3 linked regions of the Mytilus edulis genome follow. The protein of the gene in region 1 purifies or fractionates together with the protein of each later gene. This does not show direct contact. Links are inferred from orthologs where the notes say so. Each region holds a gene or a part of one and is shown in the gene's direction. Other genes may lie near its edges.

Region 1 (3,763 bases):
CACCAAAAGCACGTTATTCATCTTAAACATCAAAAGATTTTTTACACTCCAAAAATAGTTAATTCCACTTTCTTCACTATTTTTGTCTAGTGCACAAAAGTAATTTTCATTTTGTTTTATCACTTCAATGCAAAAGTTGCTTAAGGATCGATCATTATACTAAAAGGTTTACAAATCTCTTTGTCTTAATATAATGATTTACTTTAGATATTTAATTATATATATTTAAGGTGGGCGTGGTCTTTTCATATTAAGTAAGTAAGTAAAACTTTATTTTGATTCGTCATATTGACAAAGATACAGTAGCACTTAAAATTTATTGTGGTCTTAAAATATACTCATTATGTTTCAATGATATTTAGTTGATAATTAATTTCGAGAGATAAATAGCCTCCGGGTGCGGGAATTTCTCTCTACATTGAAGACCTGTTGGTGACCTTCTGCTGTTGTTTTTTTCTATGGTCGGGTTGTTGTCTCTTTGGCACATTCCCCATTTCCATTCTCAATTCAATTTTATCGTGTACTTCAGAAACAAGGTTAAAGGAGGACCACGCCCCCATAGTGGAGACATACAAAATAAAGATGACCGTTCTCCATTTCTACTCGATAGAAGTGCCTAATTTTTTTATAACATCTGCATTATGTACCAAAGATTAGAAAATGAAAGTATAAAAAAATCCGATAGTTGAATGAATTTTTACTTTAAACACAGATACTTTTCCAATTTCTAATTCTACCGACCTTGCAAGGAAAAACCTATAAAATATTGAGACCCCTACTTTAAAATGGGTAAAATTTTTTGCCCTACTTTGGACACCCCTTTTCTTTACGAATATCGATGTGAAAACCTAGCGAGATTACGATGTAAAAAGTTTAGGAAAAAATAAGGAAATGTACCCCCTTTTACAGTGCAGAAAATCGAAATCCGAAATTCTATGTTCAGATGTGAAAAAATAAGATTTCCTAAAAAAAATTTCAAACATGAAAATAATAAGTAAACTCATATATTTTTCTCTTATAAATGGGCTTACAATCAACAGCATTTAATTAGTAATAAAACAGCGCCACATTTAACTCTAGCTTATACATGTATCGTGTGAATACCAAGACATAAACATATTGCATATTGAGTGTTCAGTGTTCGGACAAAGCCGTATTAATTGAACGGAACGGATATGATCTCTGCGCCTGAGATTGATTGACAACTATAAACAAGATAAATGGATTTAAACATGAGCAAACATTTTAAGTATACAAACAAATCAAGCAAGCCAAACAAACAAATTCTAACCTTACTCTACAAACATTGGGAAATTACGGCTCTAAGGCGTAGATTTGCTTCCTATTCTTTTTTAGGATTTTAAATGGTTATTAGTTAAACTTTTTTTACTGGTTTCCAGTTATAGACTAAGACGCCTTTCCCGAAGAAGAGTAAGATGGTTACCAGAAAGAGAGAGGTTCCGAAGTTAGCGGCTTGAAGAATGGCAACAAATGTTGATAATGCTATTTTAGAACAGTTCTGTGCAATTACAGGTTATTTCGATGTCCATTTTTTAGATTTAGTCGTTAGGTTATTTATTCTCTTGAATATAATCACACAAGAAAAGCTTACAACGAAGTATGACTGTCATTAAGCCCCTGACATTTGGCACTTGCACTCCAATCATTTTGCTTTTTTGGGCTTTATTTTTTTTATGACACGAATCTAACGCCAGATAAGAGTAAATACTCAGCAAACAGTAAAGTAAGATTTAGTCATTGGACAGGTGTTACATGATGAGTAGCTGTGGAACTGTAGCTCAAAAGATTATCCTTTGGTCATGATATTTTTTTGTTTATTTGAGGACTTAAAAGAGTAAGAGCTACAGTTCCGCAACTATCCGATGAACTTGAGTTTTTTTTAAAGGTTCACCAATACACTTCAACAAAAATGGCTATGTTTGCACCATGCAATTTTCCCTGAATGCAGACAAAACTAATTTTAAAAGGTTTATATCCTGGCAGCACCTAGATTTATGCAACATGTGCAAGTTGTATTCATTTTGTGTTTTAAAAAGAAGAAAAAAAAGAAAGACAAGAATACAAAAAATGAACCATAGCAAAATTACACAATGACAGGATTTACAAAGCCACATCAAATTGATTTCACAAAAAGATAATAAATGTCACTCAGTACAAATGTACCTATAGACATGATAGATAGCTAGAATCTATACTTTTTGTTTTATTTTTTTCATCACTGTAATCAATAAAATCAATGTTAACCATGCATATATCATAATTTGTATTAATTATTCTGCTCTTCATGGGTGACTTGATTGACAAATAAAACTATTCATATTCATGATATTCTTATTCTTATTCTATACTTCAACATGTTCAAGATCTGACATTGTGTATCATTTGTAAAGTTAATCATGTTCATGATGATAGAGGGATGTTGTTATCCGAAAAAAATATCTGCATTAAAAGATAAAAAAACCCTGAGATTTTACTTATGAATTATCTAGTCTACATGTACAATGTTGCTGAATGTCCATTGTTAAAGATGCACATAGATTTAGGTGAGAGGCACAGGCTCTTTAGAGCTTCTAGTTTTATTATGATGATTAATTTAATTATTTTAATAGATATTAGTAATTACATGATATATGTATTTACATTTTCTTCTTTCAATATTTAGGTGCTACAAATGAAGTTGGTGTTCGTTTGTTGGAAGCATGCAACTGTAACCTTGACATGGCCATAGGAATGCACATGGACAGTAATACAGATGGTGTTGTAACAGAGAATGATCAGCCGTCAACATCAGATTATGGGAATGATGGGTAATTTATCATTAATATAATTGATTAAATTCTATGAGGATTTATTTTCTACTATTTTGATATGACGTGTACGAAAAAAATCAAGTAATTGAAACAACAATGAACATTGTGAAGCATAAGGTATGCCTATAAACCCTAATTATTTTTCATGATGACAATAATTTTGAAGGAAATTTCTATGTAGATTTCAAACATATTTTCAAAAATTAATGAATCCTGCTTGGAACACCACTCTTCTGATTCTCCAACATGTCCAACTTTCCCTGAAATTAAATTTTTTTTTTTCATTTACATGATTTGACCTTATACTAAATGTGCTATTTACTAAAAGGGAAGAAAATGATACTAACATGACATTCAAACTAACAAGTTGAAAAGTACATGTAGTTGATTGTCTTTTTTTTTTTAAATTGACAAATTATGCAAATGCAGTTTATACATCATCTTTTCTACACATTACATACTTGGAAGTGTCATGAGCGTCAAAGAAACATAGGTAATTAAAATAAAATAAAGAACTGAAGAAGGCCAATGGCCGAAACGTCTTGAAAAATTCGTTTATTTATACAATTATATATACATTTGTAGTATGTTCCCTATTGGAATTTTGAAAACAAATATAATTTTTCCTAAATGATCACCTCCAGTCTTTTTTTTGTGATACATGTATATATATTACTCATGCTTTATTTTTTCTGTGTACATATAGTGTTAGTCAGATAACTTTTCATGATCTTATTTATTTTTAGAGATGATGTTAGAGCTCCAATACCACAGCGAAGTGAAACATTGGTAGAAGAAATGCCAATTTATGGTAAAACTCAAATATTACCCTCTACTACTCAATACTCATACTGTTGGCACATGTATAATCAAAGATGTGTATCGTGAAAAAATATTCTTAAACTGTTTTGATCGTGGACTGTCAATTTAGA
Region 2 (3,763 bases), on another chromosome or scaffold:
TGTACATAATGTATTGGGATACTAATAGGTAAATAATTTGATGCTGTACTGCCCAAAATATTCAGGAAATCAAAATCTAATTAGTTAGTCACCCTCTCTGCAGTTGTATAGAAATTTAGATTATGTACTTACAGAACATGAATAATTTCTAGACTACCCTACAGAATGACAATCCTGAAGATGCTTGAAACTTTAATAGTGCAGGGAGACAGTCACACCTTCTATTTGATAAATAATGTCATAATGCGAGTGCGTAATTGATGATCTTTTCCAGTGAAAGACACAAGTAAAAAAAATAACCTATTCCGATACGGCACTTCCATTAAAGGGTTTTCAGTTGTATCTGTCATGTGACTTCCATCACCACGTGACTAAAATGTAGGCATCGTCACTTCCAACGCATATTGAGAAAATGGGTGAAAAGGTTCGATTAAATTTTTTTGGATCTTAGCCTACTTCTTCCATAATGACTTAGAAAAATAATTCACTTTTAAGAAACTAAAAGGTGGAGTGAACATGACTGAACACAAATCAAAATCCGTTAACGGAGAATATCTAACAATTGGCAAAAGCGGAGTAACTAGAACAGATTTGAAATTGTTGATCTTTTCAGGTAAGACATGATTCCAGATATAACGGATTGGAAAATAAAGTAGGAATATATCAAAATTAAATCAAATATGATATATGAAGTCAATGAAAGAGAAAACAATAACACTCAATTGACAACCTTATTGGTTTAACTAGGTAAAACATGAATCTTCTGAAGATTATCATCAGACAGTTTAATTCTGCTGAAACTTAACAAAGCAAATGATATTAAGTTAAAAATATACACACCTGCAGTGACATCAAATGTCTTTACAGTAGCCATGTTGTTTACATATTTTCCATGGTTCCGGAAGTCGTTTTTATGAAATTGTCTAAAATAAGATATATCATATACAAATTTCCTTGATTATGTAACAATAAAAGTTATGTGTTTAACTTCATATTTTGATACCGAAAACTAACTTGTTCCTGCAAGTGCGACAGTTTCGAACAAAATATGACTTCTAAATCATAACTGTGTTTAGCATTCACTGGTTTATGAATTATACTATAAAGCGTTTTGTTGACGCAGGTGAACAAATTCAGCTTTTGCAAGTCAGCTGTCTGCTAATAGTTATTTGTAGAAAATTACTAATATTTTCATTTTCAAAACTATTCCTCTGAAATACACAACAAAAATGGCTAGTTCCAAGCATAAGCCAATTGTAAGTTAAGCACGATGTTATAAAAACAATAGAGACAAAATTTATAGGGCTCTAAATACCAATCAGATATTCATATATTTTATGATTAAATCCGTTTATAAATGCTCTTTTTTAAATCCAGAAAAAAATATTTCATCGGTATGTTATCACATCACAATGGAATATATCATATGTTATGTTTGTGAAACAAATGTGATAGGTGGCGGTCGTGTTGTAGGTTTTTTCCTAAAATATGATTCCCAGAAACTGAAACTGAACAATTCTGTATACAAGATATTTTATGGTGCCAATCACAGCACCTATTACTAAGCAGAATATCATTGTAATTACTAAACAAAGTACAATACAATATATATATGATATTTTGAACTAAATAGAATAACAAAATAACTGGATATTTAGGAGATAACTGTATGGTATTTTAAGCTCCGATGGCATCAATTGGGGATTTGATGGTCGCAAATTAAGTTTACTGGCCATGCGTTAGCGGAGACAGTAAACTGGTATTTGCGACCATCAAATCCCCAATTGATGCTGTTGGAGCCTAAAATACAATATTGTTATCTCCATTCTAATGAAACTGACAGAAAACAACGTTTAAACATGTATTTAAAATCTGTCATATGCTGTCTGCACTTGCGCATACATCCCATAGCATCAATTGTCAATTGATGCCATGTAAATAAGTGATGCTATCCATAATCCAATCAAAATGAACGTTACAAACGTTGTTGCACTAGAATAATGATTAGATATTGGAAGATGTGGTGTGAGTGTCAATGAGACAACTCTCCATCCAAATGACAATTTATAAAAGTAAACCATTATAGGTCAATGTACAGCCTTTAACACAGAGCCTTGGCTCACATGAAACAATTAGCTATAAAGGGCCCAAAAATTACTACTGTAAAACCATTCAAATGGGAAAACCAACGGTCTAATCAGTAATCCATATAAAAAACGAGAAACAGGTATGAATTACATAAAACAAACGACAACTACTGTACATCAGATTCCTGATAGTATGATGGCTATAGAATAAGGTTTAATTAATTTATACATTTAGAATTATGACTGGGAAAATACTTACATTACCCTTACATACATGTATATGAAAAAAGTAAGATCACAAAAATACTGAACTTAGCTAGAGGAAAATCAATTCTGAAAGTCCATAATCACATGGCAAAATCAAATAACAAAACGCATAAAAAACGAATGGACAAGAACTGTCATATTTCTGACTTGGTACAGGCATTTTCAAATGTAGAAAATGGTGGATTAAACCTGGTTTTATAGGGCTAACCCTCTCACTTTGATGACAGTCTTGTCAAATTCCGTTATATTTACATTGATGTGTAAACTAAACAGACACAATAAATAAAATAGTCAAAATATGGGTACATCAGTCATCATCGTATAGCAATTTTAAAAGGGACAATTTAACAGAACTCTAAAACATCTATCTACAAACACATTCATTGATTTGTGTGTCTGATGTCAGAAATTTTTTTTATACGTCACATAAATTTGTCGTTCATTGTGCATGCAAACAATTTTAAAATTTACATAGGCAATGTTAGCATATAGGGTTAAAAAATCAAAAGTATGTAAGAATAAATATCAGAAATAGACCGAGATTGAATATAGTCCAAAAGTTATATATATACAGAATTTATAAGAATCCACACATTCCACTACGCGATTGAATGATTTTGACGTTTATGGTTCAACGTAGTTTGTAATTCATAATAGAAATATATCATAATGACATAAACTAGAACAATATCATACTGATGATGTACTTCTCAAGACACAATTTGATTATGGCGTTATAAAAGCGTTGTCCATAGGCAGATATTTCAAGTCCTTTTACAACAAAATACAAACTATGCAAATGTCATGCACATTTTGACTTCATTTCAGAACATTTACATGACATAACGCCCAATTTGCCACGTAAATTTTTTTTCAGCTTATAGATGAACACAAAACACTCCTTTTGTAAATAATTTTAGTGTAAAGGTTATGATTTATATTTTGTTGACATGTATGAGTCCGTTAATATTAATGCAATTTTATTACTTTATTGAATTTATTAGTATTGCTTCCTACATGTACATGTTTATAAACCATGTATTGAAACTAAAAACTTAAATTTCATTTTGCTTTTATGATCAGTTTAATCTTTTCTTTTTGTATTAGTTTGTATTAGGTTGAATTACTACATGTACTCTAACGTTATTAATGAACAGTCACATGATCTTTAATTTCTGTGCAATTATAACAAACTATGATAAATAAGTTCTACTTTTTGTGGTAGGTTGTTCGTATTCAGTCTCCTGAGCATGGTACTAAGAGAGTAGAAGCTAAATCCTCAGAGTCTGTTGCAGACTTCCTAAACAAGGTGAGTATATATGCTCTTTTGTTTCAATGTTGGAAAGTTCCTGGCGGAAAGAACTTAGTAGCCGAAAAGTTCCGAAGGAACTTATTAACTAGTTGCTTTG
Region 3 (3,763 bases), on another chromosome or scaffold:
ATGAAGAGGTGCTTGGCCAAAGTGAAGTTAAACACATCAAAATCCATATATAAGGGCTACTTTGCCCGCGGGAGTTGAATCCTAAGTTTCTTTGTGATTTGTATCTAAACAACCCATTTTAAATTATCGGTTTTTGGTTGCCAGTGACAAATATTTCATGAATGTTCAGGAACAAATTAGCAATAAATACAATAAATACAACAGAGAAGGATTGTGCTTGCTATTCATATGATGAATCTTTCAATTAGTTTAATTGAGGTCTGGAGCTGGTATATGCCAGTAACTGCTAGCTTTATATAAAGCTATCCTTTGTTAATTTATTATCATTGTCATTGTGATTAGTTTCTTCTGTTTCCTATTCTGACATAGGACTTCGATTTTTTTTAAAGTGCGTATTGCTGAGCCTGTGTGTTTGTTTATTCTGCATTGAATAGAGGAAGAGGGGTAGGGTTGTGATATCAACAAACATGTTTAACCCGACGCATTTGTACGCCTGTCCCAATTTAGGAGCCTCTGGCCTTTTCTTGTATGATTTTAATTTTAGTTCATTGTTATATTTCGGAGTTTAGTAAGATGTCTATTATCACTGAACCAACACTGAACCAGTACACTTATTTGTCTAGAGACCGCAGCTGAAGCACGCCTAGCACAATGTTCATTGCGGCACCATACATTTAGTATTCCTCCGTATCATTGCTTGGAACTGAATTCAATCATATAAGACAATGCAATTAATAAAAAAAAAAAAAAAAAATATATAATACTATAAATGTTTGGCACTGGGGACACCAAATAGCTCTGAATTATTTATCCCAAACTCTAACCTTATATTAGAGATTTAAATCAACTTTTTTTTATACCGGTTTAAATATTTTTAATAGATGCACAACCTTAAAATTTCTGGACACTGTTATCCCATGTGATGTCTAATATGTAAATACAAAAAAAAAACGACTTCTTCTTTTAATTATTTATTTTGTAATTAAAAAATGATTTCGTGCTATTTATTCCTAACTAAGATTGATTATAATCAGAACCGTGTTTACATGTACTTTCGCCCCTTTTCTATTTAAAAAATCAAACTTTCAAAAAGCGAAATAATCAAAATTGCACGTTAAGTTCAAGAATGTTTAAAGTTTGATCAAACTTCTAAACAATCAAATTCAAAAACGATATTTAGAATTTTAATATTTTAATTATTTGGTTAAAATTTCAAAATTTCAAAACTTTTACACAATTTGGAATTTTTATATTTTAAAACTTTGATCAAATTTCCAAAAATCTAAAATTTATATATAACAATAAGATTGTTATCTGCTTTTTTAAATAACATGAATAAAGACGCACTGTGACAGGACTTCGAAAGACAATCTTGATTCGGAAAAATTTCCATGTTTGAATCCGTCATTGATTCTAAAACTACTGTAAAAACTTGACTTCCTTTTTGTAAGTCGAAGTATTTTTTTCCTCACAAAAACATTGCAAAAAAAAAATCCAGAAAGAACCACTATATGAATCAGAAATATTATATTCTAATTAACATATGAAGTTCTACTCACAAATAATCAGCTCTGTCCATACCAAAATTATATTTTGTCTGACATGTCTAAGATTGATTATAATCAGAACCGTGTTTACATGTACTTTCGCCCCTTTTCTATTTAAAAAATCAAACTTTCAAAAAGCGAAATAATCAAAATTGCACGTTAAGTTCAAAGCAGGATATTCATATAAGACAAGACATGGCAGGGGCAAGAGCTAGAGGTTGATAAATAAAAATCAAAATTGAATAATACTTCCAGCAGACCGCATGATTACAAAAATGTAAATGAACTAAATAATGAATAGCTTTCTCTTGACCATGGTCCAAAAAATGATGAAGCAGTACTACGTCTGTATCTCAATGTAATGGGTATTATAATGTAAATAATTGTACAGTTTTATCTGTACTACAATAGCTCAAGTAAATTTCAAGAGAATACAGTATCTGTATTTTACACTCCTACCTAGGAGACTACTCCCGTATTCGAAAGAAGAAGAAGGAAGTATCACCTAGACGTGTGTCCTGCTATTACTTTTATTATGTCATCATCAAGGTTACAAAGAATACATATTCTGCTCCTGTTCGGTGTCCAATAATGTTTAATTGTATATAAGTATTATTCAATTAAAAAAATCCTGTAAACAAGTAAGATGAATTGTTGGTGTATTATTAATCTTTCTATGAATAAGTTTTTTTTGCTAAAAAACCCTTTTGGGAGCATATGATGACTGTCGTGGTACACAAGCTTATGTAAATGGCAATATTTTTGCATTTTCAAGGGATGTGGTCTATTACCCTTTCATAAACCAGTATGTGTTATTTAATATAATATTGTAACCAACCTAGGGTTACTATAAAACTGTTTAACTCATCATTCAGGAGGAGTGGAATAAATGGCAGTGTGGAGAAACACATTTGTAATAAACATAACAATATTTATTTTAGTAGTATTTTGACTTCTTCTTTCAATATAATAAACATCAAATACACATTCATCATTCAACAGATAAAGCAATAAATCGGGTGGTCAATATAAAAGGTAGTTGACGGTTCAAGAGATTGATTCAGAATGACATGTTTGTCTACAGGCTCCTATTTATGTCTTTTGGCACTTACTATGACGTTAGAGTAAACATCTAATCGTCCAATCAAAAGCAACGTTTCTTGCGTCTTTTGGCTTGAAACGTTCAAGAAGACAATCAGATTTCGTTATTATTAAATAAAGACTCGTTATTGAGTTGTCCGTATTTTGTCCTTCTTGTCCGAATTATATTTAAAAGCAAATAAAACTAAAAGGACATTTCTACATAATGCTATTTTTAAACGGACAGTAAATTCCTTTATCGATACGGCGTATGAACTTGGGTGTAATTTACATAACCTTACGCATTAGATATAATGCTTAAATGAGATCAATGAAAACCCTGTTCTATCATAAATAAAGACAATGTTAATGAAAAGGGAGGCACAAACATAATAAATACACAATTTATCTGCATTGATAAAGTGTTAACTTAAACAAATAATAATATGAGATCGCAAAGTGAAAGTACAGAACGGTGTCATGGCAGATGTAAACAAGTTGAATCTCACGACGATATTTGTCAAAATAAACCACTATATGACGGGAAAATCAAAGTATTACATACATGACATAGGTAAACATTACCAAGATATACATATAAAACTGGCCCTTATCACTTGCAAAGTACAAATAGTTTAAATCATGAGTATGAAAGTCAATGCATTTATCAGTGTTTGTGCACACCCGAGAAGTTGACCACCCGGCAATATTCAAATAGATATATGTAATATACAATAAATAATAGGTTAAATAATAACAATTATCAGTCCAGATTTGTCACAATATGCTCAATGTTTTTTCATCACTGTGTATTATTTTAAATTTTAAATTTAAAGTTATGTACTATGAGGTCTTGTACATCATGTACATTGCAATTATCTGTATTTAATAAAGCGAACAATTGATCAAACACTTCTATGACAGATATATATTATATATATATATACAACTTGTCTAAACATCAACCCAACAATGTTAGATCTGTAAATTTGCTTTTGCAAATTTTTGGTTCTTCCCTCGCCGGGATTCGAACCCATGCTACTGTGATATTGTGACACCAAATCGTGTGCACTGCAGCTGTCCTGCTAGACCACACAACCACCTGGGCTCTCAAAAAAAGAGCTTTCGCTGGCCGT

Evidence for each region.
Region 2: the proteins of UBX domain-containing protein 7-like (region 1) and nuclear protein localization protein 4 homolog purify together in Homo sapiens (affinity purification with mass spectrometry; 3 studies listed by BioGRID and IntAct, with this or other methods). This does not show direct contact. The link is inferred for Mytilus edulis from reciprocal best matches to the Homo sapiens genes UBXN7 and NPLOC4.
Region 3: the proteins of UBX domain-containing protein 7-like (region 1) and kelch domain-containing protein 3-like purify together in Homo sapiens (affinity purification with mass spectrometry; 3 studies listed by BioGRID and IntAct, with this or other methods). This does not show direct contact. The link is inferred for Mytilus edulis from reciprocal best matches to the Homo sapiens genes UBXN7 and KLHDC3.

What each region holds. Positions count from the first base shown.
Region 1 is NC_092344.1:63,283,881-63,287,643, reverse strand, and holds the start of UBX domain-containing protein 7-like, read left to right. Parts: upstream 1-1,394; 5' UTR 1,395-1,481; coding exon 1,482-1,533; intron 1,534-2,683; coding exon 2,684-2,828; intron 2,829-3,577; coding exon 3,578-3,642; intron 3,643-3,763. UniProt on the Homo sapiens protein: Ubiquitin-binding adapter that links a subset of NEDD8-associated cullin ring ligases (CRLs) to the segregase VCP/p97, to regulate turnover of their ubiquitination substrates.
Region 2 is NC_092352.1:9,707,174-9,710,936, forward strand, and holds the start of nuclear protein localization protein 4 homolog, read left to right. Parts: upstream 1-1,107; 5' UTR 1,108-1,229; coding exon 1,230-1,256; intron 1,257-3,579; coding exon 3,580-3,663; intron 3,664-3,763. Other genes in the region: uncharacterized protein, read right to left, coding at 841-874. UniProt on the Homo sapiens protein: The ternary complex containing UFD1, VCP and NPLOC4 binds ubiquitinated proteins and is necessary for the export of misfolded proteins from the ER to the cytoplasm, where they are degraded by the proteasome.
Region 3 is NC_092346.1:24,036,734-24,040,496, reverse strand, and holds the start of kelch domain-containing protein 3-like, read left to right. Parts: upstream 1-1,403; 5' UTR 1,404-1,446; exon of another isoform or gene 1,447-1,456; intron 1,457-3,763. UniProt on the Homo sapiens protein: Substrate-recognition component of a Cul2-RING (CRL2) E3 ubiquitin-protein ligase complex of the DesCEND (destruction via C-end degrons) pathway, which recognizes a C-degron located at the extreme C terminus of target proteins, leading to their ubiquitination and degradation.